Elephas maximus indicus: one gene and its partners. The protein of the gene in region 1 interacts with the protein of each later gene in a pairwise test. Links are inferred from orthologs where the notes say so. Each region holds a gene or a part of one and is shown on either strand. Other genes may lie near its edges.

Region 1 (7,557 bases):
CTGGCGGATAGTAATAATTCAATAAATATCTGTTAAATGATGAGCTTTTCTCAAAGCAAAGTGACATAATGAGTGCAAAAGTGTTCAGTAAATGGCAAGAGGCTTTATACATAAAATATATGTTGTTATTATTTTTTGAGCAGTATTCTCAATGCACAAACGTATACAGGTAAAGATAAGTGTAGCCAGAGGAGCTCAAGCCTGTGATCTTATCTATAACATTGCCTAGCACACTTGCAAAAAATGGAATATCAAATTTCAGCTTTAGGAGAAAAGAAACATCCAAAGAATAAGTTGACTATTGAGAAAAATTACTGTGTCCCTTCACCTAAATATATTTTACTAAAGGATGAAAACAGAAAAAAAATGTACTAAAGGAATACTTACTAAAAAGTGAATAGTTCAGGTAAATAAGTTAAAAAACATGATAATCCTAGGTTAAATAACAAAATTAAAAATTCAATATGTTAAAAGTGAATATATATAACCTCCATTTTACTATTTTCTCAAATTACAAAAAAATAGATCTATGTATGAGGTATTTTTGGAATAATTTTAAACCTGTAAAAAAGTTTAAATAGTATGCAACGAACAACCTTATACCCTTCATGCACTCAGCTGTTAACCGAAAGGTTGGAGGTTCAAGTCCACTCAGAGGCACCTTGGAAATAAGGCTTGATGATCTACTTCCAAAAAAGCAGCCACTGAAAACCCAATGGAGTCCAGTTCTACTCTGATACACATGGAGCTGCCATGAGTCAGAACTGACTTCCAAGGCAGGCAACTGGCAAGATTCCCTAATTGTTAACATTTTGCCACATTTGTTTTTGATTAATATCTTGTTATATTTACTTTCACAAATGGTAAAATATTGCCACATTTGCTTTCTTTCTCTCAACCATTTGAAAGTAAATTGCAGACAGAATGATACTTCACCCCTAAGACCTAGGACATTCTACATAACCAAGATATCATACTCTGGATCTTTAACACTGATATAACAACACAATCTAATGTATAGTCAAAGTTCCCATTGATTCAAAAATGTTCTTACATTTTTATGTTCTCTGATCCAGAATCTAAACAGTAATCAAGTATGATATTTGGTTGTCATGTCTCTTCAGTCATCTTTATTCTGGAACAGTTCCACAACTTTTTTTTCCATGATGTTGCTATTTTGAAGAGTCTAGACCAGTTAATTTGTAGAATGTCCTACAATTGAATTTGCCTGCATGTTTTTTTCATGATCAGATTCAGGTTACACATGAATACGACATAGGTGATGTGTCCTTCTCAAGTGCATCACAGCAGGCAGCATGTACCTCCATTTTAGATAACTCTATTACTAGATTTTAAGTAAAAAAAAAAAAAAAGGCCAACAGAAGAAAAACTAATTCCCTTTAAATATCCTGTGAGCTTTTGGTTAGTAAAAGCCCTCTTTCCAAGCAAGCATCCACAGAAAGTGGGAGGAGGAGAGTTGAGTGGAAAAGACACTGAAACAAGGAGATCTGAGCTTTAGTGTTAATTTGCTCAATAATTACCTGTGAGACCAAAACCCAAAACCCAAACTCACTGCCATCGAGTTGATTCCGACTCATCGCAACCCTACAGGACACGGGAGATCTGCCCAGTAGAATTTCCAAGGAGCACCTGGCTGATTCGAACTGACCTTTTGGTTACCTGCTGTACCACTTAACCACTACACCACCAGGATTTCCTACCTGTGAGCATCTAGGTAAACCTCTTAGAACGTTCATCTATTTAAAAAAATGAGAGAACTGGCTCAGATTACTAAAAAGTCTTTGAATTCTAAAATTCTGAGTGGAAACCAATGTGGTAGACAAGAGTTGGATTTACAATCAGGAGACCTGGATTTGATCTGTGTGAACGTGGACAAGTCATTTAATCACGTTAAGCCTCGCAGAGATTTACCTCACAGAGTTAGGACAGATTAAGAGGCTTATTGAATATCAAAGTGTATTATAAACCATAAAGAACTACCCAAATGTCAAGTATTAGTTTACAATTTCCAATCTTCCTCCTTGATCTAATCAAAGAGAGAAGAGCAAGCTAAAGTGAACCAGGCTTCGTCAATCTAAATTTTAAAGCCAGGAAATGCTAGCACATTTAACTGCGTGTCATGTCATGCTTGATTTATGGAATTTACAGGATAGCTTTTATTCCATAAATGTTTATGCTTTGATGATTAGTAGTATTGGCTAAAATTATGAATAGGTACTCACTTGTACAGGCCGGTCCTCCATAAGTAGTCACTCTTCTTGGAATCCCATATTTTAGGGGCAGAACAGTGAACACTGCATACGAGATGGCAACCAGTATCAAACTAATTTCCTCATTCAGTGAACTATTTCGTGTTGAGCCATTAGATCCTCCCCGAGGATGGCAAACCAAGCCAAAGCTGAGGTGGGGGTGGGGCTGGGGGTGGGGGGAGCCCTGGAATAAACTAAGGCTGAAGGCATGATGTTTTCCCGAGAGAGAGCCACTGGGACATGTCACATGGGCCGACCCTTTACATTCTTGGACTACCAGCTCTAGGGTTTCTTTCAGGCGTTTTGAAAAGGAAGGAACCCAGTGCATTAGTGGCCTGTCCACACTGACCACATTTTCGATCACTCAGCAGAGATACAAAGTATCTCCCTGGGTGAGGCTCGGGGCGTGCGCAGGTCTTTTAGGGTTGTGTTTAGTAACTCGCGAACTCTATGCCACGTCGTGCCTAGCACATTCTCATTGCTCAAGACTCTAGACGTTGCTAGAAAATGGCTAACGAGGCCGCGGGAGATCCGCGGCGCGGCGGACGTTGCTGCGGTTGGACCTGCCTGACGTCCCAGCCCACTTCAGGGGTCGCCCTGCCCAGGTGGCCGAGGGGGGTTCGGCGGAGCGCGCGGGCGCTGCCCCCTCAGTGCGCACGCGCGCCCGTCATCCGGGTGCCGACGGCGGCGGAAGTCGCGCTGGGCGGCGGGGGCGGGGTCCGCGGCACATTGTGCGCAGCGCCGTGCGTAGCGCCGTGCGTAGCGGCCTCCGCGGCCCGAGCCCAAGTTGGCGCTGCCGCCGCCGCCCTGCAGCCCACTCGCTGCTTCGGCAGCGCGCCGCTCTCCTAAAATGGCTGCCGCTACCGGTGCTGTGGCGGCCGCGGCCGCCTCGGATCAGGCGGAAGGGAAGAAGATCACCGACCTGCGGGTCATCGACCTCAAGTCGGAGCTGAAGCGGCGGAATTTAGACATCACCGGCGTCAAGACGGTGCTCGTGTCCCGACTCAAGCAGGTGAGGCCCAGCAGGTCCGGAAGCGGAGCGTAGGCCGCGCCTGGCGTCTCTGGGCCGCCGCGGTCCGCGGGGCGGAGCGGGCCCGGGCGCCGGCCGCGCGCGCAGGCCTGCCGGGCGCCCCTCCCCGCCCGGCCGCCGAGCGCGCCCCCGCTCCCCCGGGACGTCCGTGCCGGCTGCCAGGGCTGCGGGCGGGCGGGCGGAGCGGCCTCCCAAGGGCGTTGTGCGGAGCCGGGCGGCGCTGGGTCCCCAGCCTCAGCCATGGTGAGCGCGTGCTTCCCTGGGCCTCGGGGGGAATGGTTACTTTGGTGACTTCTGCGAAGTTACCGTTTAATGGTGCCCAACCGTTTCCTCCCCATGGGGGGGGGGCGGTAGTGGGAGTTGATGGGGCGGGGGGAGAGGTTTTGTTTTCCATCGGGTTTTCAGTTTTTGCATCCTCGCAGTAATCTCCTTTTTCATCCTTGATTACAATCATTCTGGCTTATTTGAGAGAGCGTTGGAATTGTGGTAGAGGAGGGATAAGTTTGCGTTGCAGATATTGGGAAAACTCCTTTTAGTTACTTTAGCAGCTGGCAGCTTTTCTGCGATTGAGCATATTAGGTTTTTTTGTTGAGTATGATAATATGTGATATATAATTTTCTCAAATTGGTAGAACCTTAAACTCCATGTGATTTTGATACCTAATAATGCCCCCCCGCCCCGCAAGCTTCTCTTACCTTTTTCGTGTGGTTTAATTGCTCTTTTTTGAAGTCAGTTTATGAAATGACTGGCAATTCTAACATCTTGAGGCTTGAGGTTTGCTGATTTTTTTTTCATTGCGTTTTTGTAAAATAAGTTTAGATAGATTGTGTAGCATATTAATTTCTCTTTCTAATGTAGGCTATTGAAGAGGAAGGAGGCGATCCAGATAATATTGAATTAACTGTTTCAACTGATACTCCAAACAAGAAACCAACCAAAGGCAAAGGTTGTTACTAGTTATGAACGTATTTTAAAATATATTTTGGTTATATAACTTGTGTCTGCTTTTGTGCCATTTGCTCTGTTTATACAGTTCTACTCTTTGCTGTTTCCCTCTGGCACTCTGCCTTCTTGGGTCAAGGAAGAACAGTTACCGTTGCCAGGCTCTGGGTGACTTGTAGCCCTTAAGATTCCGCTGAAGCTAACCCGAAAGTGAGACCAGTCCTTTATTGCTTCTGAAAAAAATTAGAGTTGAGTTTCAGAATGTTTTTTCCTTGGTAGTGTGAAGATTACAAGAATAAAATACAGTTTAATACGTATCTACCTTGCCCCAAATTTGGCAGAGTATTGATGGAATCCCTACAAATCTTTCACCTTGGCTTCTTGCTGTTTCCTCTAGTATATTAAAATTTTATGATCTTCATGTTTTGGAGTTTGACTTAGTGAACTTAAATTGGAATTATGCCATTATACATTCTAATTTTCAGTGAAATTTAACAGGACTTAAGCATTTGAACTACAACGGAAGGGAAAACCCATTACAGTTGTCCCTCAGTATCCTCAGGGGGGTTGGTTCCAAGACCAGAATCCTCAGATGCTCAAGTTCCTTGTATAAAATGGTGTGTATTTGCATATAATCTAAATACATCCTCTTTTATGCTTTAAATAAAAAAAAAAAAAGGGTATGTGTAGTACCTAATATAGTGTAAGTGCCGTGTGAATAGTTGTTGATGCTTACAGTTAACAACGCAAATCCAGGTTTTGCTTTTCAGAACTTTTTTTTCCTCGAATATTTTCAGTTCGCAGTTGGTTGAGCTCCAGAGTGTGGAATCCACAGATACAGAACCCCTGAATATGGAGGGCTGACTTGGATTAGGGCCTCATCCAAAGTTATAGGAAAACATTAAAGATTTTGATATTTTAACTTCTAAAGTAGGCCAGAATATATTGCCAGGATATGCTGATTCAGTGAATAACTTGAAGTGGTTTGAAATTAACATTTCAATAACAGAAGTGGAATTTTTTAAAGCTTCTGGTAAGTGAAATCTTTACTCGAATAATTGTAGATTTCTCCCTCCCTTCCAGAAGAACACTGGCAGGGGTGGACATGATGTGAGCATTTGGATCCTGGTACTTACCTACAATTTCCATTAATTATTGCAGCTCTTATTTAATACAGAGTATGTCTTGCACGGTAAACCCTGGTGGCTTAGTGGTTAAAAGCTATGGCTGCTAACCAAAAGGTCAGCAGTTGGAATCCACCAGGCACTCTTTGGAAACCATGTGGGGGGCAGTTCTGCTGTGTCCCGTAGGGTCCCTATGAGTTGGCTCAGTGGCAACAGGTTTGGTTGTTTTGTTTATGTATTGGACAAGTGCAGCATTTTTTTGGAATCTAACTTCCTTTACTGCTTTAAGTATGCAAAACGCCACTTCTGATTGGGAATAGAGCGAAAGCATTGAATCAATTAACTTGAAAATAAGGAGATATTAAATTTTCACCTCAGGGACCATGTGGGCATGGGGAACAGGCAGATGCTGATTCCAACACAGTAGTTAAGCCTACATAGGTTTGGAGGAGTCCCATATTCTGTGCCACAGCACAGGAGTTAGGAAAGACTGAGAAGCCTTTCCTGGTGGAATAGGAGTGGTAATAAGTGGAGGTTGAGTTTAGAAGAGTAACAAAGTATCTTGGAGGTCTATTGCTTTTAGTGTAACTTTTTAACTCAGTGTATCACTTTGAGAGATAGCTTGGAGAGGCTTGTGCTGGCAGGCAGAGGCTATTTCAAAAATGGGTAAGCCCTTAGAAAATTCAGGAAAAAATACATTAGGAATGAACCATGTGTTGTCTTATGGTGGTTTTGATTCATATTCTTAGCACATTGTGGTAGTTTGATAGATGTTGAGGTTATTATGATTTTTAATATTTAAATCTTGTTTATTTTATACCTGCTTTTGATTTTTTGGTATCCTTTTTTTTTTCTCATTTATCTTACTCATAGCAATAATTTCATCAATAAAAAAAAACTCAGATTTTTCCAGTTGAGTATATATATTTGCTTATCAGTATATTAACTTTTCTGGCAGTTTATAAAGATACTTGAACTTTAATTTTCTTTAACTCTGATGTTAAGGTGCCTTGTGGTCATCGGTTAGAAGTTGAAGCATTTGTTATTTGTCTGTAACAGGCTACTGAGTACTTCATGAGCCTCATTCCAGGACATGCATGATAAAGGGCGCTAGTTTCCTTGAATTCCATCTGTCATTGTTATGAAAATCCTATTAATATAAAGAACATAATATAAATGCCAAGTTTAGAATTTAATTTGAATTAGTTTACAACTGAGATACTTACAGATATGATTATTTTAAAGTAAGTTTAGAAACGATTTTTAAAAATCAAAATTTGTTTAGGGAAACTTGTTAAAATATTGGTAATAGATTTTTAAAACCAAAGATTCAAGAAATTAAATACTGTTTTGATGTGATTTCATTTTTTGTCTAGTTGAATTACTACATTAAGGTTTTTTTTTTTAATGTCAAATCTTATCTTAGTATTATCTACTTTGAAAATAATTTCAGCTTGGTCATGCCACTTTTCCTTCAGTGTATCTGTTTCCTCTTTTGTAAATTTGGAAATTGTACTAGATCATCTAGGGCTCTTTTAATTCCGAAATGTAACAGTTTCATATAGCCAGGAGCCAGAAGAAAAATGAATTTTGTTCAACTAAAGTAACGTGTAAGACAGGAACAGAAAAACTCGCAGGCCCTCAGTCAGTGTAGGTTTTCTTCAGCACCGATTATTAAATGAGGAAAAGATGGAAGAATGGAATTACTTATAGGCAGTCATGTAGACGTCAGCTAACCTACCTAGTGCCGTCGAGTCGTTTCCGACTCATAGCGACCGTGTAGGACTAGATGTCAACTAGGCATGAATAAGTATATAATCATAAAATAAATAATTCCTATCATAGTCTTAAATCAGCAGATAAAGGTTAAATGGTGTTAAGAAAACAAGAGAGGCTTGACGGATTTGGAAAAATTACTGAGGTGACACATGAGATAAATGGAGGGTCACTTTCTTTAAATAAAATTGTATGTTGAAATGATTGTGTTTAGACAGATTAGAGAAAAAGGAATCTGCATTCATAAATATGTTGTAGAATATTCAGAAAGTACAGTTATTACAAGGAAAAGTTTGTAGTGAATGTTGATAATGTTTTAGTGGGTTTGATTTTAATAATCAGCATACTTATAAAACTATTTGCATATAGTTAACATGGTGGAACAGTTTTTAGGTTTAGTTCTCTCTCCTGAGT
Region 2 (7,958 bases), on another chromosome or scaffold:
GTCCTATCAAGGTGCTCATGTTTTATTTCATCAGAAACAGCCTGAAAAAAAAGAAAGGAGTAAAATGAAGGGATATTGAGAAAAGTTACTGAGTAGGAAAGATAAATCTAAAATCAACAAACCAAATTAATATTTATTCTACATCTATTATGTGTGAAGTATGTTGCTGGTCATGGTGGGTGTCTTAGGCTGAGATCTCTAGAGAAACAAAACCAGTAAAAAAAAATGTGCATCAAGGAAATGGCTCATACCATTGTAGAGCCTGGAATGTCCCAAATCCATGGATCAGGATAAAGGCTTCTCCTGATTCACATAGCTGCAGGGGCTGGCTACCCAAGATTAGCAGGTCTGAGAGCAGGGCTCTTGCTCACAGTCTGTGAAGATCAACAAATCCCAAGATCGGTAGGCAAGACCACAAGCCTTCTCTTAATGCACGTAGCTGCAGGGGCTGTTGAACCCAAGATCAGCAGGTCAGAGAGCAGAACTCTTGATCACAGGCTGTGAAGATCGACAAATTCGAAGACTGGCAGGTAAGCTGCTAGCTGAAGTCCCGAGAACTGGAAGTCAGACAAACAGGAGGCAGCTGCAGGATCCAGAGAAGGCAAAAGCCAGAACATCCACTTATATTCAAATGCAGGCTACATGCCCAAGGAAACTCCCTTTCAACTGATTGGCTACTCACAGCAGATCCCATCATGGGGAAGATCACATATAAACATGGAGAATCACGGCCCAGGCAAGGTGACACACAATCAACCATCACAGTGGGTAATTTAAAAAGATCTGGTTCCTTACCCTAACCTACACAGTTGCTCAATTTAGAAACTTCTTAGGCAACTCAAACTATTTCTCTCTTTATGTTTTTCTGTAGACGCACACACGCTTGCACGCGCACACACACACACACACGAGACCGACTGAAAGGCTCAGGAGATAGCATCTCCCAATCTAGGGAGACCTAAGGATTCTGGGGCCTGCCTTGCCCAGAGCCCAGTCCACCCCGTAAGAACAGGTCCCTTTTGGTCACAACATTTAGTGGGAAAGGGAAGAGGAGGTGGTGATATCTTTTGCAACTGGATTTAGTATCTTTTCTCTTACCACTGGCTCTCTTTCAGGGTGAAAGGTTGGCAGGATCCTCATTCCAATAACAGAAAAACAGGAGACTGAGATGGAAAAACCTTCCTGTGGTAGCTGGTGTCTGCTTTGTGGTGCTATTTTGAGGGGCCTTATGGGAAAAAAATTTATTATATGGCTTATGGAATAATTTGCATTAGGTTACATCTGTATGCCCCAGGGGGGCCTATAAAACTTGATCCCTAATTTCAAGGATAAAACCAAACCGAAACCTATTGCCATCAAGTTGATTCCAGCTCATAGTGACCCTATAAGACAGAGTAGAACTTCCTCATAGGGTTTCCAAGGCTGTGATCTCTACAAAAGCGCATTGCCACATCTTTCTCCCTTGAACTGGCTGGTGAATTTGAACTGCTCACCTTTTGGTTAGCAGCTGTCATGGATTGAATTATGTTCCCCAAAAAGTGTGCCAACTTGGCTAGGCCACAATTTCCAGTATTGTGTGATTGTCCACCATTTTGTCATCTGGTGTGATTTTTCTACATGCTGTAAATCCTACCTCTATGATGTTAAGGAGGCAGGATTAGAGGAAGTTAACGAGGCTGGACTCAATCTACAAGATTAGGTTGTGTCTTAAGTCAATCTCTTTTGAGATATAAAAGAGAGAAGTGAGCAGAGAGACAGGGGGACCTAATACCACCAAGAAAGAAGCACCAGAAGCATAGTGTGTCCTTTGGATCCAGGGTCCCTGTGCTGAGAAGCTCCTTGACCAAGGAAAGATTGATGACAAAGACCTTCCCCCAGAACCAACAGAGAGAAAGCCTTTACCTGGGAGCTAGTGCCCTGAATTCCAACTTCTAGCCTACTAGAATGTGAGAGAATAAATTTCTGTTTGTTAAAGCCATCCACTTGTGGTATTTCTGTTATAGCACCACAAGATAACTAAGATGGCAGCCAAGTGCTTAACCACTGTGCCATGGATTTCAAGGATAGACATGGCAAAAACAAGATAGAAAGAACTTCACATTAGAAACAACTCATAATTTACAAGTTACTTCTGGTCAATGTGGTAATGTCTTGTTACCCTGGAGGAGAGCTGTGTCAACCACTTGAAGGACTCCATTAGTCAGGTGAAAGAAGGCATTTGGGAACCTAATATTGTGGGAGAAGGTTGCTCCTATTCCTGCCCTTACGGAGCCATTCATTCTCTTTATCAGGACTGTAACAATATATTAACTACTATACAGAGGGTTGCTATGAGTCAGAATTGGCTCCATAGCAGCGGGTTTGGTTTGTTTTTTGGTATTTATTGAACAGATACTACGTGCCAGGACTTTGCCAGGAGCATTATCTATATTATCACCTACTGATCCTTCCAGGCTCTGGTTATTATTACTTCTTTTGATTCATATCACAAGCTGAATTAATAATTCCATTAAACCAAAACCAAACCCATTGCCATCGAGTAGATTCCAACTCATAGGGACTCTATAGGACAGTGCAGAACTGTTCTATAGGGTTTCTAGGAAACCCTGGTGGCATAGTGGCTAAGAGCTATGGCTGCTAACAAAAAGCTCAGCAGTTCAAATTCACCAGGTGCTCCTTGGAAACTGTATGGGGCAGTTCTACTCTGTCCTATAGGGTCACCATCAGTTGGAGTCTACTCGACAGCAACTTTGTTTTTTTAATAATAGGGTTTCCAAGGAGTGGCTGGTGGATTCTAACTGCTGACCTTTTGGTTAGCAGCTAAGCTCTTAACCACAGCGCAACCAGGGATCCAGTAATTCCACTGATAATTATTAATTGATAATTAATAATTCTCCACTCTCACCCTGTTCACTTTTTTAATAAAACACCAGTCTGTAGACTACATTTCTGGCTGCCTCACTACACAGTGAGCCCATTAAAAGGACCCATGTTTCACTTGATTTCTCCAGCATTTAGTAGTTTAGCCCTGGTGGTGCAGTTTTTAAGAGCTACAGCTGCTAGCCAGTTCAAATCCACCAGCCCCTTCTTGGAAACAGTATGGGGCAATTCTACTTTGTCCTATAGGGTCACTATGAGTTGGGATTGACTTGATGGCAACAGGTTTGGTTTGGTTTTTTGGAAGTGTTCTGTTGAGTGAATGTTGAGTGTAATGTCTGCCACGACTTCAAACTCATTGACGAATCATGGAATTTTTGAGCAACAGAGGACTTGGAACCTTTGACACAATCTCCTTTTACGCATAAGAAACATTAAGTTGGAACAAGTAACTTGCCTGAGGTTACACAAACTAATAGGTAGGATGAGAATTAGACTCTAGTTCTCTCGCTTTCCAACCAATGCAGTTTCTTCTGCAGAAAATACTCTACCAAAATACAACGAAATACCCTTATTCCCTTATCTCTTTGCCATACCCAAAGCCGAAGAACATTTGGGCCTTCAGGTTATTTCCCTGGTATTTCCTAAAACATCCCACTTTTGACATACAGTTTTCCTTTAACAGTCCCCAGTATCAAATAGCACAAAGCTCAAACTCCAAATTAGCCAGCTTTTGCTGTAGAGTCACAATGTGTCACAAAGTTGAGGAAACCTTCTGTCTATATTTGTACCAAAAACTCTTCCTACAAGCATCCTTTGGTCCAGCTAAATCAAAATGCTTGTCCATAACACATGCCACGGTCTTGCCTCACAGTTTCTTGAGACATGCTGTTCATTCTGACTGAAATATCCTTCCTCCTTATCAACCTGGTGAGCTTTAACAATTTGTACCTGACCTTAATCGCATGATACTTGAATGAGTAAATTTTGTGTGTCCAGCACCTAGCAACATAGCCCTCAATGAAGTACCCTGTGTCTTTAGAAAATGAGAGAAACGTAACTTACTGGTCAGAGTGGTGAACAACCTTTTACCAAAACTTAAGTAAAATGAGGAAAAACTTAACGAAAAATAAGTAAATGTGTTCTTTCACTCAGTCTTCTTCCTTTCTTTCCCTTAACTCTCGTTTGTCTGTTGTGGCTGCTATTCTCACTCCCTCTGTGAACTCCATATTCTCCCAGCAAACCAGCTCCTGGACACTTGAGAGGAATCCACAAATTCCTTTGAGGCTCCATCACTGGAACAAGTTCTCAGTAGCTAGAGAAGGTCTGGGCTGCTAACAGGAAGTTTTTGTACTTCTGGCTACTTTGTGCCTGGGGCAAAAACTGCAAAGTCCACCTGGAGACTCTACAGGATAGAATGGTAGAACAAAACTAACATCCACTATCTCCATTGAATGCTTATCTAGATATCACTCTTTCCAGAACTGGCGTCTGGCTTAGTACTTCAGAACAGTCTCCAGACCCCCGTGAGCTTCCTTCTTCCACCTTTAAAAATTTTCAGCAGGACATTTAAAAATTGTTTTGGATTTAAGTTTTCAAGCCTCCCCTTTGGAAGCGACAGCTGCAGGCTGACGGCCAAGGAAAAGCAGAAGCTGGTCCTCTGGTCTCGAAATCCCTTTCACTCCTCTCAATGTCCAGGACCCCATCTAGCCCCTTCGTCTTGCTCACATGAGGAGGAACAGGTAGGTTTCCTCCAACTGCGTCGCTGGCCTCCTTAACACCACCTCTCAGTCCTCCAGAGCCTGGGGCAGCTGGGGACTCCCAGCCACGCGCTCAGGGCCCTTGCCTAGGCGTTGGGACCCTGGGGCCCATACCCGACCCTGCGCAGGCTAAGGGGATGTTGCCAGCAGTAGGGGTGACCTCGGCTCGCCCGCCCTGAAAAGCCCTCCAGCCTCGGCCCGCGGGGCGGGTAGCCTAATGGGCAGCCTCCGCCCGGAGGCGGGCACAGGCCGGAAGCCACCCCGCGGCACAGCAGCCCCGCGAGACGGCGCCCGCGCCCCCGTCCTCTCCAGCGCCGGCTCCGCGGCCTCGGCCTGCAGGGGCCAGCCTGTAGGGGCCCCGCCGCGCTCTTTGTCCTGGACGCGCGCGGGCGGACGCGTGCGCCCCCCGGGTGAAGGTAGGCGCGGAGAGAGCGCGCGGGAGCGCGCGGGAGTAGCTCGCGCCCGCCGGCTGCCGGCGGCGCGCGCCCCTCCGCCAGGCAAGCGGCGAGCACGCGCGCCGGCCCGCGTCCGCCCCTCCCCCGCGCTCGCCTAGGAACTTGCTGACTGCGCGGCCGGGAGGAGCCGAGCCGGGCGGCGGCGGCGGGAGGCCACAGTGCGCGGGGGTCTCCCGCGTCCCCTCCGCCTCGCTGGGAGCTCGCGCCCTCGCCCAGCCGAGCTCCCACCCCCCGTTTTTTCCCGAAGGCGCTGGGCGGCGCCACCCTCCGGCCGGAGCCCGGCACTACACAGCCCCCTCCGACTTTCAATGTTCCACACTCCCCGGCCAGAGCCTCCTCGGCTTCTTTTTTTCCCTCCCCCCCCTTCCCCCCCCAACTGCCTCCATTTCCTTAAGGAAGGGTTTTTTTCTCTCTCCCTCCCCCACACCGTAGCGGCGTGCGAGCGGGCCGGGCGGGCGGCCGAGGTAAGGCAGCCGGGCCGGGGGGCCGCGTGGGGGGCGGCCGGGGCGGCGGCGGCGGCGGTGGGGGAGGGGGCGGGGGCGGGCAGCTTTGTTCGCGCCGGGCGCCCGCGCCGCCGGTGTCCGCGAGCCGCGGCGGGGCCGGCCGGGCTGCTCGCATCACTTGGCGCCCGGCGCGGCGAGCGCTGCCCACGGCCCCCGCGCGGCCCTCCCCACAAAGGGCCGCGGAGCTGCGTGGCGGCCGCCGCCGCCGGCCGCGGTTCGCCTCCACGGGCGCGGAAATTTGTTGCACTTCTTGGGGCTTTGTTTGTTTGTTTTTCCTGGGATTTTTTTTTCTCGTTATTTTGGACAAAATGTCGGTCCGTGATGTAAAAATTGAGCGAGGAACCTTGGTGGCATTGGGAGCTTTGCAGAAGGTGCAGTTTGGATTCTGCTTTTCCCAGGGTGGCAGCTCTCTCTTGGCCGGATGAATCTTCGCTGCTGGCCGTGGAAACGGCTAGAGCAGCTTGTTAGTTGATTTTTAAATTTCTAAATGTTGTGTTTAAAGCCTTACGTGCAGCGAGGAGGAATCGCCACGTTAAATAAGCATATGGGTGATTAACGGGGTATGTTTTCCTCTCGGAAAGGCAATTTGGTAGCTTTGACCAATGTCAGTGTGTAAATATTTAGACGTTATTAGTGACTTTTTAACATTTTTCAGCGAGATCTGTTATTTACAGTGTGTCATATGTTATTAATGCTCGTTGCCTAAGTTCCCTGGCAAATCTGTTTCATGCCTTCTGAGAAAGTAGACAATTGATAGATTGTCCAAGGAATGGAAAAAAAAAATGTGAGTGGGTTTTCTAACTTGAGTCCGGTAAATCCTTGAACGGTGGCGTTGTGAGACACATCGCCTCCCCTTGTAACCTTGTGTGAACACTTTTGAAGCCTTTTTATTAAAATTCGATTTTAATTGATTTATAGAAAATAAAATGCTATTGGTTTATTTCTTAGACTTAACCTTTCCTACCCCCCTATTTTTCTCTTTAAAAGTTTTCCAAGAAATAACTTCACCAAGATGTCCAGTGATAGGCAGAGGTCCGATGATGAGAGCCCTAGCACCAGCAGTGGTAGTTCAGATGCAGACCAGCGAGACCCAGCCGCTCCAGAGCCTGAAGAACAAGAAGAAAGAAAACCTTCTGCCACCCAGCAGAAGAAAAACACCAAACTCTCTAGCAAAACCACTGCTAAGTTATCCACTAGTGCTAAAAGGTAATGTGTTAAAAAGGGTTAAGCACATTGTCAGGTTGTCTTCCAAATGGTCGGACACTTTGTTGGTTTTAGATCAGTAGGAATAGTTCAAAAAATGCTTCACGATTGGTCTTATTTGTATTTGAATGAGTTGTCATTCTGTAGATGATATGTAAACCACTTCCATAGAATTATAGTTTTAAGCAAACTTATTCTGTACTTCAGTAACTTCAGCAAGAATGTACTTGAATAAAGATTGGACTACTATTCTGACATATTAAGGAGTTGGTGAAGGGAAATTTGTGAGCCCAAATTAGAGGTACAATGGGGATGTTTACTTTTTGAGTCATACTCTTTTCTTTATTGAAGTTGACACTTCTGAAGGTCACCAGTGCCTTTCCATGAAACTTTAGTGATCCAAAATAATCACATTTGCTGGAAAATCTATAAATTCAAGGTCTTGGCTATATGTGAAAGCAGATTTAAAATCGTGCTACAAACTGTTCTCAGTTTCACAAACAAGTCTTTAAGTTATGCATCCCAGGTATACTTTAAAATGATGGTTATTCCTCTGTGCCTGTGAGGGCACATAAAACTGCAAGGCAGCCGTTTACAGTTTTAAGTGTCACTTGGCTATTGAAAACTTTCATCGTCCTTGTGCAACTTTTTACACTAAAACTTGTGGAGACACTTGACACATTAATACTCAACAACAAAAGAAACATTTTGTTGGATATAAGTGAAAAATTGCTTGTTTCATGTTGATTTATATGTATTGGAGAGAAAAGATCCTATCGGTGGGGCTCCATCCGTGGGGGTAGTTGTGGAATATCCATGAACTCTAGGAATTATGTGGACAGAGATACATCAGATATATCTATTGAATTAGTATTGACATTCTGTTGGTTTTTATTGATCGCAACTAAAGGGCAAAGAAAATACAAAAACTGATCAAATATTGTGTTTTGTAGTGATTCTAAAATATTCATTTTTCTACAGATTTTCATATCTATTGTATAATAATCAAGCATTAATAACTTGAGAATGTTTTATTAAATAGCAGCAGTCTTTGAAATAATTTATAATTCAGTCTTTTTGAAGAACGTACTAAATTTTAAGTTTTCAAAGCATTTTTCATTTGAATAAAATCAGAGAACTGCTTTTTTTCCTAACTCAAG
Region 3 (7,924 bases), on another chromosome or scaffold:
GAGGATCAGGGAGTCCAGAGGCTGCCCTGGGGAGCTTAAGGAAGGCCTCATCCAAAGCGGGCAGGGTTAGATACCAGGGTTCTGAAAGAACTAAAGAACTAGCTAGCACTGGGTTAATCAATGAGGACTCCTGGGAAGCTGAGATGCAATCAAACCAACCCTCTGAAAAGGGGAAATACCTTGCAAAAAACACCTTAGCACTTAAATCTCTACACTATTTAAAATAAAAAGTCATTCCCTTCATCAGCACTTTACCAACTTTTCAAATTTCAAGTCAGGGAAAATGACAAAACAAACTCTTGAACTCTTGAGTTCTGGCTTACTACTCAACGGAGAGACCTAAGTCTCAGGTTCCATTTTATTTTAAATTCCTTTAAGAAAGACATCCCTATCTAACCCACCATTCAGATTCCTTACTATCTTCCTAAACTAAAACCAAAACCAAACCTGTTGCCAGCAAGTCAATTCTGACTCATAGCAACCCTACAGGACAGAGTAGAGCTGCCCCATAGGGTTTCCAAGGAGCGACTGGTGGATTCAAACTGCCGATCTTTTGGTTAGCAGCTGAGCTCTTAACCACTGCGCCACCAGGGTGCCACTGTTTTCCTAGTATGCCACTTTAACGTTTAATAACTGTTTACCAGAGAGCAGAAGGATTTATGAAAAGGTGTCTGGGGGTTCCCAGAAATCTGCTATAGATTATTTTAAGGGTCACAGGAATCCGAGGATATTACTAAAGGATGACAGAGGTAAAAAGTGGCTTTCTCCAGAGATGTAAGAGGAAAAAAGTAAGGAAAAAGAGCCACTGCTTTAATTCAACTTGGAAAAAAATAGTAGCATTTTTACAGCATAAGACAGCACGAAAAAACTGCGTTTTCCTACAATTGGTAACGTGAAGTTCTTAAAGAGAAAAAAAATTAAGGATCCCAGAAATAACCTACAATACACCAGCTTACAATCATTTATTGCTTCATTCATTTGCGTCAACTCTCCAAACCAGAAAAATCCCTTTAAATTCCATCAGGAATCCTGTCTTCAACTTCTAAAATTTCTACCCCACTGATGTATTTATTCTTTATGCAATTTTTGGATAAATTACTATTCAACAAAGATCAGGCGTGCAACAGGTGAGAAGGAAGTAAGACATTTTGATAGGGAGTTATCTGGGCAGGTATTAGTGATTAAGAAGTGGGACGGCAGCCGTGAGGAGAGTTACAGATTAGCGATTAATAAAACCAGTAACCTGAAATGGGGTTTGGGGGTCACTATTAAAAGCAATGAGGATTCTTACAAACTTCAACAAGAAACGCGAGAGGCAAGCCACAGCGGCTGCATGTGGGCAATGATTAAAAGAAAAACAGAACAAGCAACGGAGAGAATAATTAGGGCCTCCCAGGCCCCTTTTTCATTTGTAAGGACACACAAACCAGGAGGGGCACTTTAGCTACCCTCTTTGGGAGCTAAACCGAATGCAGCAGAGGCGTTCAGAAAAATAGGAAGCCGGTGGAAAAGCGTACGGTACCTCTTGGCGCTGGTGGAGAGGAGCTTGGAGTTTTTACTCATGCTGACTTTACTCTCCTTCTTCTTGGGGGTGTTTGTTTCTTTCTCGGTTTGCTGGTTGGAGGAAGAAGATGAGGAGGAGCTGGTGCTGGCCCTCGAATCGTCATCCGACATAGCGAACCCCCCACCCCACCCCGCAAACAGCCCCTGGAGGAGGAGGGAAACAAAACAGACACACGTAAACCAGGCAGGCAGTGTGAATAGGGAACTCGGGTGCTGTCAGGAAGGCACGGGGCAGGGGTGCACCCAGCCGCCCACCTCCCTCTTATTGCTTTCAAAGTCTCTAGGCCCATTAAGGCTTCGGCAAATCGGACGCGGCTTGTTTGTTTATTTTGGGCCCCAAGTAGAGGACGCCGGGGGAAACGGTCCGGAGCTACGAGGGCAGCCCCTCCCTCGCCCCCCGGGGCTCCCCTCTGGGCACGGAGGGGGGAGGCCGAGGGGGCGGAGGAGGAGGGCAGGGCAGGGGCGCGGGGCGCCTCGACGAGGCGAGGAGGAAAGACCCGGGCGGCCGGGTGGCCTTCGGACTGTTCTGTGCGCTTCCTGGGGGTCGCGGGGGCCTGTGGCCCCGGCAAGGCTGCGGGGCCGGGAGCGGAGTTTGGCGAGGTCGGGAAGAGAGGAGGGGCGGGAGGAGTAAGAGAGGAAGCCGAAACCGGGGGACGGAGGCGGGGAACGGGTGCCCGGGTGGGGGAAGGGAGAGGCCGGCGGGGACAGGGGCGACGAGGCCCGAGGCCCCCCACGCCGCGCCCGACGCCCCTCCCTGTCGGCCTGCCCCTCAGCCGCCCGGCTCCGGGCTCCGCGGCCAGGGCGGGGGTCCTGAGCCCACGCCCGATCGCCACCTCTAGGAGGTGGGGGGTTCGGGTGTGTGGGGGGGTTGGCCTCCGCAGAGAAGGAATAACAATGAGCTCGTCCGCCCCGGAGGGGTTAATCCCCGCGGGCCCCCGCCCGGGGGGAAAACGAGGCTCCCCCAACTCCCCCACCCCCCGCTCCCGGCCCCCTCAGTGGCCAGTGGGGGGCTCCCGGGACGGCGCTGACAGTTCAAGCCACAATGCCCCCCTCGCCCCCGACGCGGCGGCCCCCGCACCCCACGCGGCCCGGGGTCCCTGCCCATCCCCCGCGGGCGGGCCCCGGACCCCTGGGGCTCCCCGGCCCCTCGCCCCTCCTCAGCCCCGTGCCCGGCGGCCCGGGCGGCGCGGCTTGGGGGAGGCGGCAAGGGGTGTCCCCGAGGCCCGGCGGCGCGGCCGGGGGGCGGCGGGCGACGGGGGGATCCCCGTACCTCTCTTTGTGTCTGGCTCCTCCGTGCCGCCGCGGCGGCTGCTGCTGCGGCTGCGGCTGGGCCTGGCCACTCGTGTCTCTCTCTCGCTGGGAGAGAAGCGGAAGTGCAGCAACAGCAACTATTAAACAGGCAATGGCTTCCCCCAGCCACACACGCTCGCACACACACTCCTCCTCCTCCTCACCCCTCCCCCACCCGCCCGGTCCCACCCACCCGCGCTCCCTCCCCCTGCACCTCCGGGAGCGGGGGGACGGGGAGGACACGGGGGACCCCGGGAAACCCTGTCCCCCTCCCCATCCACACCTGCACCCCCACCGGGCGCCTCCTTCGGACGCCCGGGAAGGGGCGAGGGGTGTGAATTTTCTCTTACGGGGTTTGGGATCTGGATCCTGGGTAGGAGACGGGGAGCTGGTCCGAGACGGGGGGCGCTGGGAGCGGCTGGTACTAGCTGGAATAGAGGTGCGGGGGGTCACTAGAGAAGAAGTTCTTTCCACAGAGGGCTTTTGGAAAAGGCGTTTGGCAAATTGGTGAATAAGACGGTAATCTCATGCCTAAGACTTGGGACTAGAGAGTGCAATGGAAACTCCTAAAAAGTGATCAGTTTAAGGGGAAAAAAGAAATCCCACAAAAGGGATTTCCCTTTGGGCTGACACTTGCTTCTCTCTCTGGCAATTTACCTGGTAGGAGCAGAGGTCAGTTTAGTTAGACACGCCTCTGAGAAAATCCCAAACTGGGACTTTTCTGCTCCAGGGCATGAGGCATGTACAATTCTAAATTTTAGATTCTTCACGTCACATTTTATAGAAAGTGATGTGGGTTTTTGAAAGTGATACAAATGATTTCATGACAGGTAAGAGCAGAGGGTTACAGGTTTATGAATGTGAGAAATCACTGGGAATAAATCATATACTGAATTAGACTAGATTTAGCGTTTTTGGGCGTCAGCATTGGATATAAAGTTTGATTTTTGGAAATTCGCTAGGAAGTTCTGGGGACCCCTGTACCTACTTCAGCTACAACATAAATGCTATTCAAATAATAATATTTTTAGAATAATCAGTAATTCTTCTAAATTGTTCCTCGTTTAGCATTTTAAATAAGATTGACTTTCTATTATTAAGCCACCAAATTACTCTTCAGTTTCTCACCTATTTGTCATTTCAGTTGAAGGGAAATGAAGAGATATATACCATCCAAATACAAGTGACACACTCACAGGATCTTTACATTAAGGAGACAGCCTAGTCAGAGTTCCATGGGTCACTCTAAATTATCTCATTCAAATTACCATCATTTCCCGTGGCAACAGTGGTTTCAGTCACCATATACACAAGATATAAAGCCCATGACATATCCAGTAACCAGGAAAACAAGGATTCTCACCGCCCAGCTTAACCCCTTCTACTCTTCATCCTGAAACTCCAACTTCATCAAGACTCATAAAGCAATAATAGCGTATGATTCTTGTTCAGTCCCTACTAGGAAACCTGTATCTACCAGGTATTGCCATAGAATCAAGGAGTCCAAAAGGTGGAGGAAACCTCGTAGTCATCACTTCAGCCTCCTGCCCAGTCAGAGCTATCCCTTAACCACCAAAATGCATATCGATTTTGAAAAGATCCCCGGACAACTTTTCTTAGTGTTTGGTTTCAGGAGTCCTGGTAGACCATACAAAAATAATGACATTCCCTGCTGTATGGTCCTTAAAAACAAAAAATCTCCTAGAAAACAGGTTGTAGACTTTGTGTACATCTGACGAAAAAGTTCAACAGAAAACAATAAGCAAACAGATGAAATAAACTTAGTTGGGGGTGAAGAAAATAATCTTACGAAAATTTGGATTTCTGATGCTTTAAAATCCAATCCTGCACTATGATTACAACTAGTAAAAAAAATTGTATATGTAATTATATATATTAAAAAAAGCCAATTATATGTATATGTATATATAAAGACAAGACCTGGTAGGATCACAGGAAAATAAAAAATTTGATTTGCTGAAGTGACTGGGATGGTGGTATATTTTTTCTTTAAGTTTGATTTCTATAAATCGTATACCTGAATACTGTCTTAGTTATCTATGAGTGCTGCTATAACAGAAATACCACAAATGTGTGGCTTTAACAAACAGAAATTTATTTTCTCACAGTTTAGGGGGCTAGAAGGCCGAATTCAGGGAGCCGGCTCTAGGGGAAGGCTTTCTTTCTTTTTCAGCTGTCTCTTTGAGCTCCTGCTCCTGGGCCATCTTCTTGTGGCTTGGCATTTCTCTTCCCCCATCCTTGCTTCTTTCCCTTGTTCTTTTAATCTCTTTTATACATTAAAAGAGATTGATTTAAGACACACCCTATACTAATCCTCTCTCATTAACATAACAAAGACGACCCGTTCCCAAATGGGATTATAACCACAGGCATAGAGGTCAGGATTTACAAAACATACTTTTGGGGGACACAATTCAATCTATAACAGATACTATGATAATTTTTTTTTTTAACTGAGCATGGTATTTTCTGTTTCATTGTTGATGCCTGGGTTGGATTGGTCCCCGGGGAAATAAACCATGTAATCTAAGGGCTCCTCCTACATAGGGAGTGCTTTCCCAAGCACAGGTCTGGAAGGATACCAGCCCTCCCTTGTGTACCATTCCCTCTTATCTCTAACACACACTAACCCCCGGTTAGTGCTTTATGGTTTTGGAATGACCTACTGAGTCGGGTATAAAAACCTCAAAATGCTTAGAAAAGAATTCACTGTTCTTGAAAGTCTAATCTTTAGGTCATGTTATTTTAAATACACTGTTGTCTCATAGAGAAAAAAAAAAAATTTGTTTGCAACCCTCTAGCTCTTCTACATATTAACTACAAGGCCTAAGACCTGAAGTCACCTCTCTGAGCCTCAGTTTCCTCATCTCTAAAGGGCTGGGATACCTGCACTATGTGGCCCGGCAAAGCTATTGTAAGGATCAGTGTGTGTCTGTAATGAAGGTGGCTTATTAACTGTTACACAAAGTAAATTATTAATAATCCCACCTAGGTCCTACTTCTCCAGAATGCTGTTAGGGCACCTAAAGAGTGTATGGTGAGAACTTAAGAAACCCTCTGAAGTGAAAGATAGTCAAGGAATCATAGGATTTTACCACTACAATAAAATCAAAAACCAAACCCGGTGCTGTCAAATCTATTCCAACTCATAGCAACCCTATAGGACAGAATAGAACTGCCCCATAGGGTTTCCAAGGAGTGGCTAGTGGATTTGAACTGCCAGTCTTTGGGTTAGCAGCCGAGTCCCTCACCACTGCACCACCAGGGCTCCAGTACTAGACAGGACCTGAGAAATCTTCTAGTTCAAACTCCTCATGTTACAAATGAAGAAAATAAGGCAAAGAAAGCCAAGGTCATGCAGTGAGTCGGTGGCAGAACTGTGGCTATGGCCCCTGCTGCCCACAGATGATTTTGTCAGTCCTGGAAAATCCATTACACTGGAGGCAAATATTATACATGAAAGAACTTTGGTAATATTTCCAAGAATATATTATCAAGACATAGTTGGGAAAGGGGAAAAAATGGGAGGGAATCACCTGAATTTTTAACATTCACTTGAACCAATGGATGACTGCCATTGAAGTTCCTTGCTTGCCATCCGGAGAGTAAGCCTCCTTGGTTATTTGTTTTACATTTATGAACATATTTTGAACAGGCAATCCATTCTCATGCTTTATGATTCAAAAGATACCAAAGGATATGTCAGGGAAGAGCCCTCAGCTCTTCCTTCCAATCCCTCTTATTTCCCTCTTCAGGGCAGTTTTCTGCGTATCCTTGCTCGTATAATCTACGCATGTGCAAGCAAACGCGTGTACATACACTGAATTCATCAACAGAAATGCTCAACTGACATTTAAAAGATGCGTCCAATCACAGAAGCCCAAGTGGGGCAGCACTGCAACATCCACGGGCTTTGAGAAAGGGGGCTCCAGTGTTTGCTAGTACCTATTCCTGGTTCTCAGAATGATCCAGCTCTCTTCTTCAAGTCATCTTTAGAGTATCAAGTGCTTTTAAGTAAAGTACTTGAAGATCAAGGTGCTTACAGTCATAGGCTGATCCCTAGAAGGTGAAAGAACAAGAATTCCCACCCTTGGGAGGACACGGCTACAGTTGATTTAAAAGAGACCCAGTTTAACTTTCCAGCACTCTTATTTTTGGCCAGTTGCTTATGACAAACAGTATTTCATAAAGATGACCATTCTGTTTGGCCAATTTCATATCCAAACAGTTGTCAAGTAAATTAGCATTTGCTAATATATATATATATTTAATCTTACTTTATAGCTGGTAGAAAGGATTTCCTTTTTCTGCAAAAAAAAAAAAATTGATTTGAAATTAAGAATTTCTATAAAGAATTTCTGGAAGGATGGATTCACTGCAGATTTCAGGACATCTGTTTCATTTTATTATACTCCTTTGGCTGAAAATATTCATTCCTTATACAGAAAAATAAGAAAGTTCTGCAAAGAAGGGCCTGTTCCATGAGGCCTTAGATCTGGGGCTTTTATCTTTAATACAGGTCATTTTTCCATGGACTTATTAAAAAAAAAAAAAAAGAAACACTGATATACCTTTGAAGGACCCTAAACATTGTCTGACTTTATTGGGCCTGAATATGACTATTACAGGAAGCTAGGACAGAACTAAATTATTTTTTCTACCACATGGAGGCATTGAACACCATGTGATTTTCAAAATTTACCATCACTTGATTAAGAATCAAATGCTTTTTTTCAGAGAAAAAATCAAGCAAGGGCAAAAAGGTTTGTTTGATGTCCACAAATGGATAATGGTTAATATTAAAGCAATTGTCTCAATTTATAATTTAGGGTTGCCTCTGTGAGGCCTATTCTCTAAACAAGCTAACCTCTTTCAACCTTCTGTACATTGATAACACAAGGACAGATTATATTGGAATATATTGTATTGCAGTTTGAACAGTTCGGTTCATTAGTCTCTGAAACCTTTTCCTGAACTTAACACCTTTTTAGCTTACTGAAATTTGGAGGAATGAAAGAGTAGGAGAAAAATTAGTTTTATTTCACACTCT
Region 4 (7,933 bases), on another chromosome or scaffold:
TATCCCTAATTTTTAGTGCATTGCTCCTGAAGACTCATTTTTTCGTCTTTATCAATTCAAGTAATCAAATCACACGTTACATTCATATAATATACTTGTTTTTAAAATACAGTTCCCCTTACAGCTTGAATAACTTCTTAAGCAGCAGTAACATCCTAGTGTGGGTTAAATAACCTACTTAAAGCTTTTTTAGATGAGGACATGGTCAGAGCAGCATACTTTTTCCTCATTACCCTATCTAAAATATCTACTTCCAAACCTCCATCCACTCTATATTTTTCTCCACAGCACTTTTTACCTTCTAATTTAATACACGATTAACTTAAATATTTTCTTAATGTCTGTCTCCCCCAACTAGACTTATATCTACAAGGGCAGAGACCTTGTCTGCTTTTGTTCACTGCTGGATCCTCAGCATCTAGATGACTGCTGGTGATACATACTGGGTCCTCAAAAAACAATTGTTCCATGAATGAACAAATTTAATAATTTGGTTATTGCTTTATGTATAGTTCAGTTGTTTTAGAAAGAGTTAAACTTTGCTATTAAGACTATCAGGGAAAAAAAACTTTGTTCACCCCACACGCAGACAGTATTGTCTCAAAAAGTGTGACCTATCCACATTAAAGTATTTTTTAAGATTCTACCAGAAAATCCGTATATTTTAAAAATACAAACAAAAGGGAAAGATTTAGTTGTATTTTACTTAAAAAAGGATGTATGAATTTTCCATTCCTCTAATCACCAAGACACAAAGGAAAAGAAAAGTGGTAAGACAGACTGAGGTAGTACTTGTGACATAGAAAAATGCAATATTGCACTGGCAAGTATTTTTGTCCATTGTTAAAGTACAAAAAAAACAAAAACAAAACAAAAAACCCCAAATCAAACCCATTGCTCTGAGTCAATTCTGACTCATAGTGACCCTATAGGATAGGGTAGAACTGTCCCATAGGGTTTCCAAGGCTGTAATCTTTCTGGAAGCAGACAGCCACATCTTTCTCCTGTGGAGAGGCTGGTAGATTTGAACCACTGACCTTTCAGTTAGTAGCCAAATGCTTAACCACTGCACCAACAGGGCTTCTTACTGCTTAAGAAGCCATGTAAAATTCAAGATTATTAAGTTCTTTACCAGCTTGGGTTTTTTCTCTTAACAACTGAAACATCCCTTTTCCAGATAACTGAAAAGCTAACTGTCAGTTACCATCCCTGTAACGCTATGCTCACTTGTCAAATACAATCATGCAAGTGTTGTGGATTTTAATTTTTAGTTTTAAAACAAATGTTTTAATCTTAATACACTAATAACCTTAAATTGGTCACGTAGCCCATCTACTGTTAAATTTAACAGTTCCTTTTTTGGCCTCAAATGAGGAAACTTCTCTAACGTCTCTCAGGGAGACTGGTGTAAAGTACAATGTTTCCTGAAATTGTTCTTGTTTTCTCCCTCCACTGTTTCGTCACATCTTTTCAACCAGAAATGTTATATACAATTTTTTTCTGTTCTGCAAGAGTCCATAGGGAAAAGCAAAGGTAACAAGACTATCATATGAAAAACAGATTGAAAGGGGTAAGACAAAAGCACAAAAGTGTGGAACAAAGAACTGATGTGCACAAGAGAGAGAAGATGCAGAAGAGATGTAAGAAAAACACTGCACTCGCACAGAAGAGGGGGGAAAAATGAGGGGGTACTTGCTTTTTCTTCTAGATACAAAAACAAAAAATCCTTCTAAGAAAAAATGCGGTCTCTTTCTTCACTTAAGGGGATGCTTTTTTAAAACTCTAAAAAGCGTTCAGTTGACATTCCTAATAAGTTCTACCTTCTCTTGCTACGTTTTGATACGCTAGTCTTCATCTGTGAATTAAACGCAAGCTACAGATTAGATAATGCAGAGTCAATCTCTACAAACCACAACTGTGGTTGCCATCTTTGCCTGAAAAACCAAACTCCTCTCTAAACTGCGTTGGAAAGCCAGAAAACCACGCACTGACAAGTCAGGTAGCTAGGACACAGGTTACGCACTCCTCCTAATAAACTAAGGTTCTACTAATGGTCTGGAGAATAAGGGTAAAGGGCGACAGCCTTACCGAGACCGCAAGGGTGGGGCACCAGAGGAAAAATTTTCTTAGAGGGTGAACTATCCCGGGAGGCATAAGGGGCTAGTGGTTCCCGCAGATTGCAAATTAGGCGGCAAATGCTGTTAATAGACTAAGGGCAGCTTCGAGCTGGGGTGAGAAAGTGGGCGGCTCGGGTAATGTCTGTGAGAGTGCCGTGACTCCTAGGAGAAGGTACCCAAGGGGCATTAGGAGTCAAAGGGAGGACAGCGGAGGTGCCGAGCAGTCAAGAGAAGCCAGGCGTGGGAGGCCTGAGCAGAGGCTGCGAAGCGCCTTCTGCAGCCAGCCGCCTTCTCAGGGAATGTCTTTCCAGTTTCTCCACACCCAGCCCCTTCAGCGCCGCTGCTGCCCCGGCGACAACGGCGAGAGCAGCTGTTTCCGCCGGCCGGGGACCGCGGAGAGAAAGGCATCCCTGGGGCTGGCCGGCGACCGACTCTGGCCGTTTGTGTGTGCGGGAAGGCGATTCCGAAAGCACTGTGGCGGAGCCAAGGCCAAACTTCGACCTTTCCTCCTCTAACCCCTCTTTATCCCCCAACTTCCCGGCCGGCTGGTGTCCGCTTCGACCGACCGAGACCCCCCCACCCGTCCTTGCCCTGGCCGCCTCTCACCCCTCCCCAACGCCCTGAAACTAGCCAAAGACCGACCGCTAGGACTGCTCCCGACGCCGCCCGAATACCTCCGAGCCCCGGGCGGCGCTCCCGCCCGAATGATCGCACCCTCGCGGCGGTTCCCTCGCCCTCCCAGCTGCAGCAAACTCCTCTCACCTGCATTGACGCCATGATGGAACCATCCCCCCTAGGCCGGCGAGGCCAGAGACGCAGGGGGCGGAGCTGCCGTGCTCGCGTCACGCCGCGGGGGCTCAGCATCCAGGGCGCGGGGGAGGGGCCTCCGATGGGAAGGAGAGAGCGCAAGGGGATTGGCTGGCGCGCTGGGGGAGGGGCGGGGTGCGGTGAATAGCGCTGTAGGTACCGGTGATTACAACTCGTTTTAGTGCGTCCGCGGCGAGCCCACGCCTTGCCTTGAGTGCTTGAGAAGCTCCGGAAGCGTGGTTCCGGTACCGACCGTGCCAACGTAGTCGGTTTATATTACGAAATCCTGGTGATGTGCTTATCTTTGGGTTACTTTTTGTTTGGTTTATTTTTCCAGCCGCAGGTGTACGGTTTCGAGGTTTTCCTTTCGAATACCCTTGGGCCAGATAGAATTTACCACGGGGCTGCTTTCTGGTCTTCGCCGACCAGAAAGACTTCTTGTATTCCTAATTTGAGAGACACAGGTTTCTTTCTACAATGGGATGAGAACTGAGAGCAGACAACGTTTTGGTGTTTTACAGTTAAGAGTTTTTTGGATTTGCAAAACTGAAACTTGTCTAAAAAAAGAGAGACTTTTTTGAAGTTTTTCTAGTGTGTGTGATATCCACTTCCTTACCCCATAACCTCAGTTCATGTGTATAATAAATAGTTAAGGTTGTTACGGAAATCTAAGTTTGCTCAGAGATTTAGCCCTAGGCATGATTTTTTTTTTTTAATGTGCCGGTATCTCGTTATAATAAGTACTTAATACATTCTATAAAGTCCAGCCTTCTCTCCAGTCTATTTTGTGGGTAGGCAGCTTTATGGTCATCCAACCTAGAGATACTGGGTAAGGAAGGTTGAGCATACAGAATTAACTTAAGCAATGCACCAATTCTGCCAACATTTACCAGAAGCAGCGTTTTGGAGAGCTGTTCCAGAACTGAAAATATCACGGTTTTTTAAAGAGGAAAATGGAAGCCCTTGCACCTCGTGTTCTTGCTCTAAAAAACTGAGCTGGCTGATATATTGAGTAGAAGACTTTGACTTTACCAGAATGAAAGCTTAAAACCTGTCATTTAATTGACTTGGCTTTCTTTTTAGAAATTTCAGTAAGTTAAGATTTAAATATAAAAGCAGTGTAGAATGTCATCCTTCCCACTCTTAAGATGGATCATTATGTTTCCTGGGAACTTCCCTAATGTGAAATGTGTTCATAAAGGAAAAAGATCTTTAAAATACACCAATTATTAACTAGATGGTGCCCACCTACCACCGATGACTGCCCTGACAGGGAACACAACAGAGAACCCCTGAGGGAGCAGGAGAGCAGTAGGATGCAGACATCAAATTCTTGTCAAAAGACCAGACTTAATGGTCTGACTGAGACTAGAAGGACCCCAGTGGCCATGGCCCCCAGACCTTCTGTTGGCCCAGGACAGGAACCGTTCCCAAAGCCAACTCTTCAGACAGGGATTAAACTGGACAACGGGTTGGAGAGGAATGCTGGTGAAGAGTGAGCTTCTCGGATCAGGTGGACACTTGAGACTATGTTGGCATCTCCTGCCTGGAGGGGAGATGAGAGGGTAGAGGGGGTTAGAAGCTGGCGAAATGGTCATGAAGAGAAAGTGGAGTGAGGGAGCGGGCTGTCTCAGTAAGGGGAGAGCAATGGGAGTATGTAGCAAGGTGTATATAAGTTTTTGTGAGAGAGACTGACTTGATTTGTAAACTTTCACTTAAAGCACAATAAAAAATTTTTTAAAAATACACCAATTATTGTATGGTATAATATTAAACACACTTCCGCACCCAATTCCATTTATTGCCAGAAGTGAGCTGGTTTTCCCTTTATTGTACAAAATGATGTGTCCTTAGAAATGTTTGGATGCTCCTGGCAACCAGGAAACATCCAGAAGCACATCACATGTCAGGTTGTTAAATCACACATATCCCAATGAAAGAAGAAAGCTGATAGGAAAAGTTTCCAAGTATATTTCCTTTTAGAGATCTTCTTCCCTATTATTTCATAAAATTGCTCCAGAAATCAGGTTTTACTATATGCGGTTCACTTTGTTTAAAAACTCTTCCTTCCTAAAGATATATAACATCAGATGACCCTACAAACAAAGCATTATGACATCATAAGAGCTAACAAGTATTAACAAGGAAGAAAAGAGGTTATAGGAATCCTGACACTTCTCAGCAGAAACAACATCTGGCACCTTGAGTTTCAGATGTGTTAGAAGGATATTCATATGAGGGGAAAAGTCAGTGCCAGTTATATCCCTCTTAAAGTGGTTGCTGTTGAATCAGTTCTGACTCGTGGCAGCTCAGTGTGGGTCAGAGTAGAACCACAGGGTTGTCAATGGCTGTAATCTTGTGGAAGTAGATGGGTAGGCCTTTCTTCTGAGGCACCTCTGGATGGTTTTGAACCACCAACCTTTTGTTTAGTAGTCGAGTGCTTAACCGTAAATGCCACCCAGGGACTCCTAGGAAATACTAACTAGCACATAATTACATATCGTCTTTACTCTTTCACTAATGTATAATAAAAAGATCCCAGTGCATAGAGCAGCTAAAACAGTGACTTTCAGATGGGATGGGGATATATAATTATCTCCAGGGAACATGTCCAGAAATGGTACAGCGTCAGACCTCACTAACTTCAGGGGGAGACAGAAAATCACTGTCAACATCAGCCCAAGGCTGATTCCCACATACTCCCACTCTCCAACCTTTTTACCAGTTCTGACACTAGCCATCCCATCCCTCCCACGCCACTCTCTACTTTGCTACTGGGTTTGATAATTCATTGCAGTGGCCACATAGAACTCACAAACCGTATTCACAATTATAGAATTTATCAGGGAATAACAGTTTACAATTCAGGGCCAGGATCAACTTGGTAGTAAAAGGAACGACTTAACAAGACAATTAATCAGGACAGCTTCTTCTCAGCCATGCTCACAGGCAGGCTTCTCTCTCACCCTTCAGTTCTTGGCCTTCTTGTCCTGTTATACTTGGACGGGCAAGTATAACAAAGGTCTTTAGCTCTGCCAACAAGTGCCCACAGGCACCCACTCCCCCGGCAACCACCTGCCTAAAGGCACTTACCTCTCTTTTCTCTGTGCATCAGCAAGCCTAGCCTGCCAGTCCTGTGGTACTGGTCTCTCTCGTGCAGTCTTCAGTGTTAGAACTCTCTCTGTCTCCTGGCCCTAGGAGGTTCTCAGTGTAGGGACCCTAGGTCAGAAGAATGCACTCTGCTCCTGGCTCCTTTTCTTGATGGTAGTGAGGTCCCCCTCTCAGCCTCTGGGATTGGCTCCCTTTAAACCTAGTGGGATGGCAAAACCAGCTATTTCCTACAAGGGTTCCATGCACCCTATATGCATGGTCCCACCCCCACAAAGGTTTCAAAACTGTCCAATCCCCTTGGTGGGCCACAAGCACCTTATTTGCATAATCTCACCTAATCATTTTGTGGGAGTTACAAGAACAACAGCTAAAAAGGGCATATAATAGTAACTCACTGCACTACAGTGTGAAATTTCTGTATTATTTTATATTATATATTTCTTGAAGACTATGTTCACATTCCATTTCCTTACAGAGTGGGGCTTACAAAAGTTTAAATGTCTGATAGGCAAAAGTTTAAATGCCTGATGATACCAAAAGTAGGAGAGGGAGTGAAGCTTTTATAAACTCAGAGTGAAATTGGTACAATTACTTTGGAAAACAGTTCGGCAGTAGAGAAGTTGAAGTTTCCCACGCTCTCAATCTCCTAAATAGCATCATTTATGGTAAAAGATATTTAAAAGACATATTAAGCAAACACAATATGTCAATTTTGTTTGAATCCCGATTCTAACAAACCAACTGTAAAAAGACATTTTTGGGAACTGGCAAAATATAAACACAGAATAGATATTAGATGATATTAAAGAATTTTTATTTTTGTTACATTTGATAATGGTGTTTATTTTTTATTTCCACAGCAATTTGAAATGACCATCAGGTGACAAGGAGGTGATTTTCCCCTGTTATAGATTGAATCTTGCCCCCCAAAAATGTCTGTCAATTTGCCTAGGCCATGATTCCCAGTATTGTGTGATTGTCTACCATTTTGTCAATTGATATGATTTTCCTGTGTGTTGTAAATCCTACCATTACGATGTTAATGAGGGAGGATTAGAGGCAGTTTTGTTAATGAATCAGGACTTAATCTACAAGATTAGGTTCTATCTTGAGTCAGCCTCTTTTGAGATATGAAAGAGAGACAGGAGCAGAAAGACAGGGACCTCCTACCACCAGGAAAGCAGAGCCAGGAGCAGAACATGTCCTTTGGATCTGGTCCCTGTGCTGAGAAGTTCCTAGATGAGGGAAAGATTGATAACAAGGACCTTCCCTCAGAGCTGACAGAAAAGAAAGACTTCCCCTGAAGCTGGCACCCTGAATGTGGACTTCTAGCCTCCTAAACTGTGAGAGAATAAAATTTTCTTTGTTAAAGCTGTCCACTTGTGGTATTTCTGTTATAGCTGCACTAGAACTAAGACATCCCCCATCTGCCACACTGCCCTCACCTCTGCCTCCCTAGAAGAAAAAAATTAGGACATATACAGGTTGTGTACGTGTCTGCGGTCTTCCCTCCTGGGTAAAGGCAGAGCATGAGACACAGAGGAATACATTAGCAGCTAGACTCCGTGGCACCAAAGAGGAGGAAATATGGGAAACCAAATAGTCTGGTAACATTAAAGGACCTACAAAGGGACCACTAGGTAAATGCTGCAGTACTGATGATGTAATGTAGTTTATGAATGCTTGAATTCCTATGATTCACTAGGCTGCACAGTCAGGAGCAGTCCAGTGAGGATATGCTTGTTGGAGCATGAAAAGGCAAAGTTGACAAGTCCTTGCTTGAGCTTGTGTCTCCACAGAGTAGTTGGTTCTTAGTCTCTTCATGGTTGACCTCACCAGAGAAATGAAGGCAGTTCAACAGCACACAGCATATTTGTTGGAACAGGCACCAAACTAGA

The links.
Region 2: the proteins of RNF111 (region 1) and UBE2E3 interact in a two-hybrid assay, tested with the Homo sapiens proteins (2 studies listed by BioGRID and IntAct). The link is inferred for Elephas maximus indicus from reciprocal best matches to the Homo sapiens genes RNF111 and UBE2E3.
Region 3: the proteins of RNF111 (region 1) and UBE2E1 interact in a two-hybrid assay, tested with the Homo sapiens proteins (2 studies listed by BioGRID and IntAct). The link is inferred for Elephas maximus indicus from reciprocal best matches to the Homo sapiens genes RNF111 and UBE2E1.
Region 4: the proteins of RNF111 (region 1) and UBE2W interact in a two-hybrid assay, tested with the Homo sapiens proteins (2 studies listed by BioGRID and IntAct). The link is inferred for Elephas maximus indicus from reciprocal best matches to the Homo sapiens genes RNF111 and UBE2W.

The regions. Positions count from the first base shown.
Region 1 is NC_064831.1:49,065,953-49,073,509, reverse strand, and holds the start of RNF111 (E3 ubiquitin-protein ligase Arkadia), read right to left. Parts: upstream 3,005-7,557; 5' UTR 2,244-3,004; intron 1-2,243. Other genes in the region: SLTM (SAFB-like transcription modulator), read left to right, coding at 3,121-3,282, 4,160-4,247. UniProt on the Homo sapiens protein: E3 ubiquitin-protein ligase. Required for mesoderm patterning during embryonic development. Acts as an enhancer of the transcriptional responses of the SMAD2/SMAD3 effectors, which are activated downstream of BMP.
Region 2 is NC_064824.1:79,192,525-79,200,482, forward strand, and holds the start of UBE2E3 (ubiquitin-conjugating enzyme E2 E3), read left to right. Parts: upstream 1-4,946; 5' UTR 4,947-5,053; intron 5,054-5,189; exon of another isoform or gene 5,190-5,556; intron 5,557-5,755; exon of another isoform or gene 5,756-5,966; intron 5,967-6,010; exon of another isoform or gene 6,011-6,058; intron 6,059-6,582; 5' UTR 6,583-6,607; coding exon 6,608-6,801; intron 6,802-7,958. UniProt on the Homo sapiens protein: Accepts ubiquitin from the E1 complex and catalyzes its covalent attachment to other proteins. In vitro catalyzes 'Lys-11'- and 'Lys-48'-, as well as 'Lys-63'-linked polyubiquitination.
Region 3 is NC_064845.1:15,869,596-15,877,519, forward strand, and holds the start of UBE2E1 (ubiquitin-conjugating enzyme E2 E1), read right to left. Parts: upstream 3,001-7,924; 5' UTR 2,834-3,000; intron 1,708-2,833; 5' UTR 1,675-1,707; coding exon 1,523-1,674; intron 1-1,522. UniProt on the Homo sapiens protein: Accepts ubiquitin from the E1 complex and catalyzes its covalent attachment to other proteins. Catalyzes the covalent attachment of ISG15 to other proteins. Mediates the selective degradation of short-lived and abnormal proteins.
Region 4 is NC_064833.1:68,164,109-68,172,041, reverse strand, and holds the start of UBE2W (ubiquitin-conjugating enzyme E2 W), read right to left. Parts: upstream 3,003-7,933; 5' UTR 2,982-3,002; coding exon 2,880-2,981; intron 1-2,879. UniProt on the Homo sapiens protein: Accepts ubiquitin from the E1 complex and catalyzes its covalent attachment to other proteins.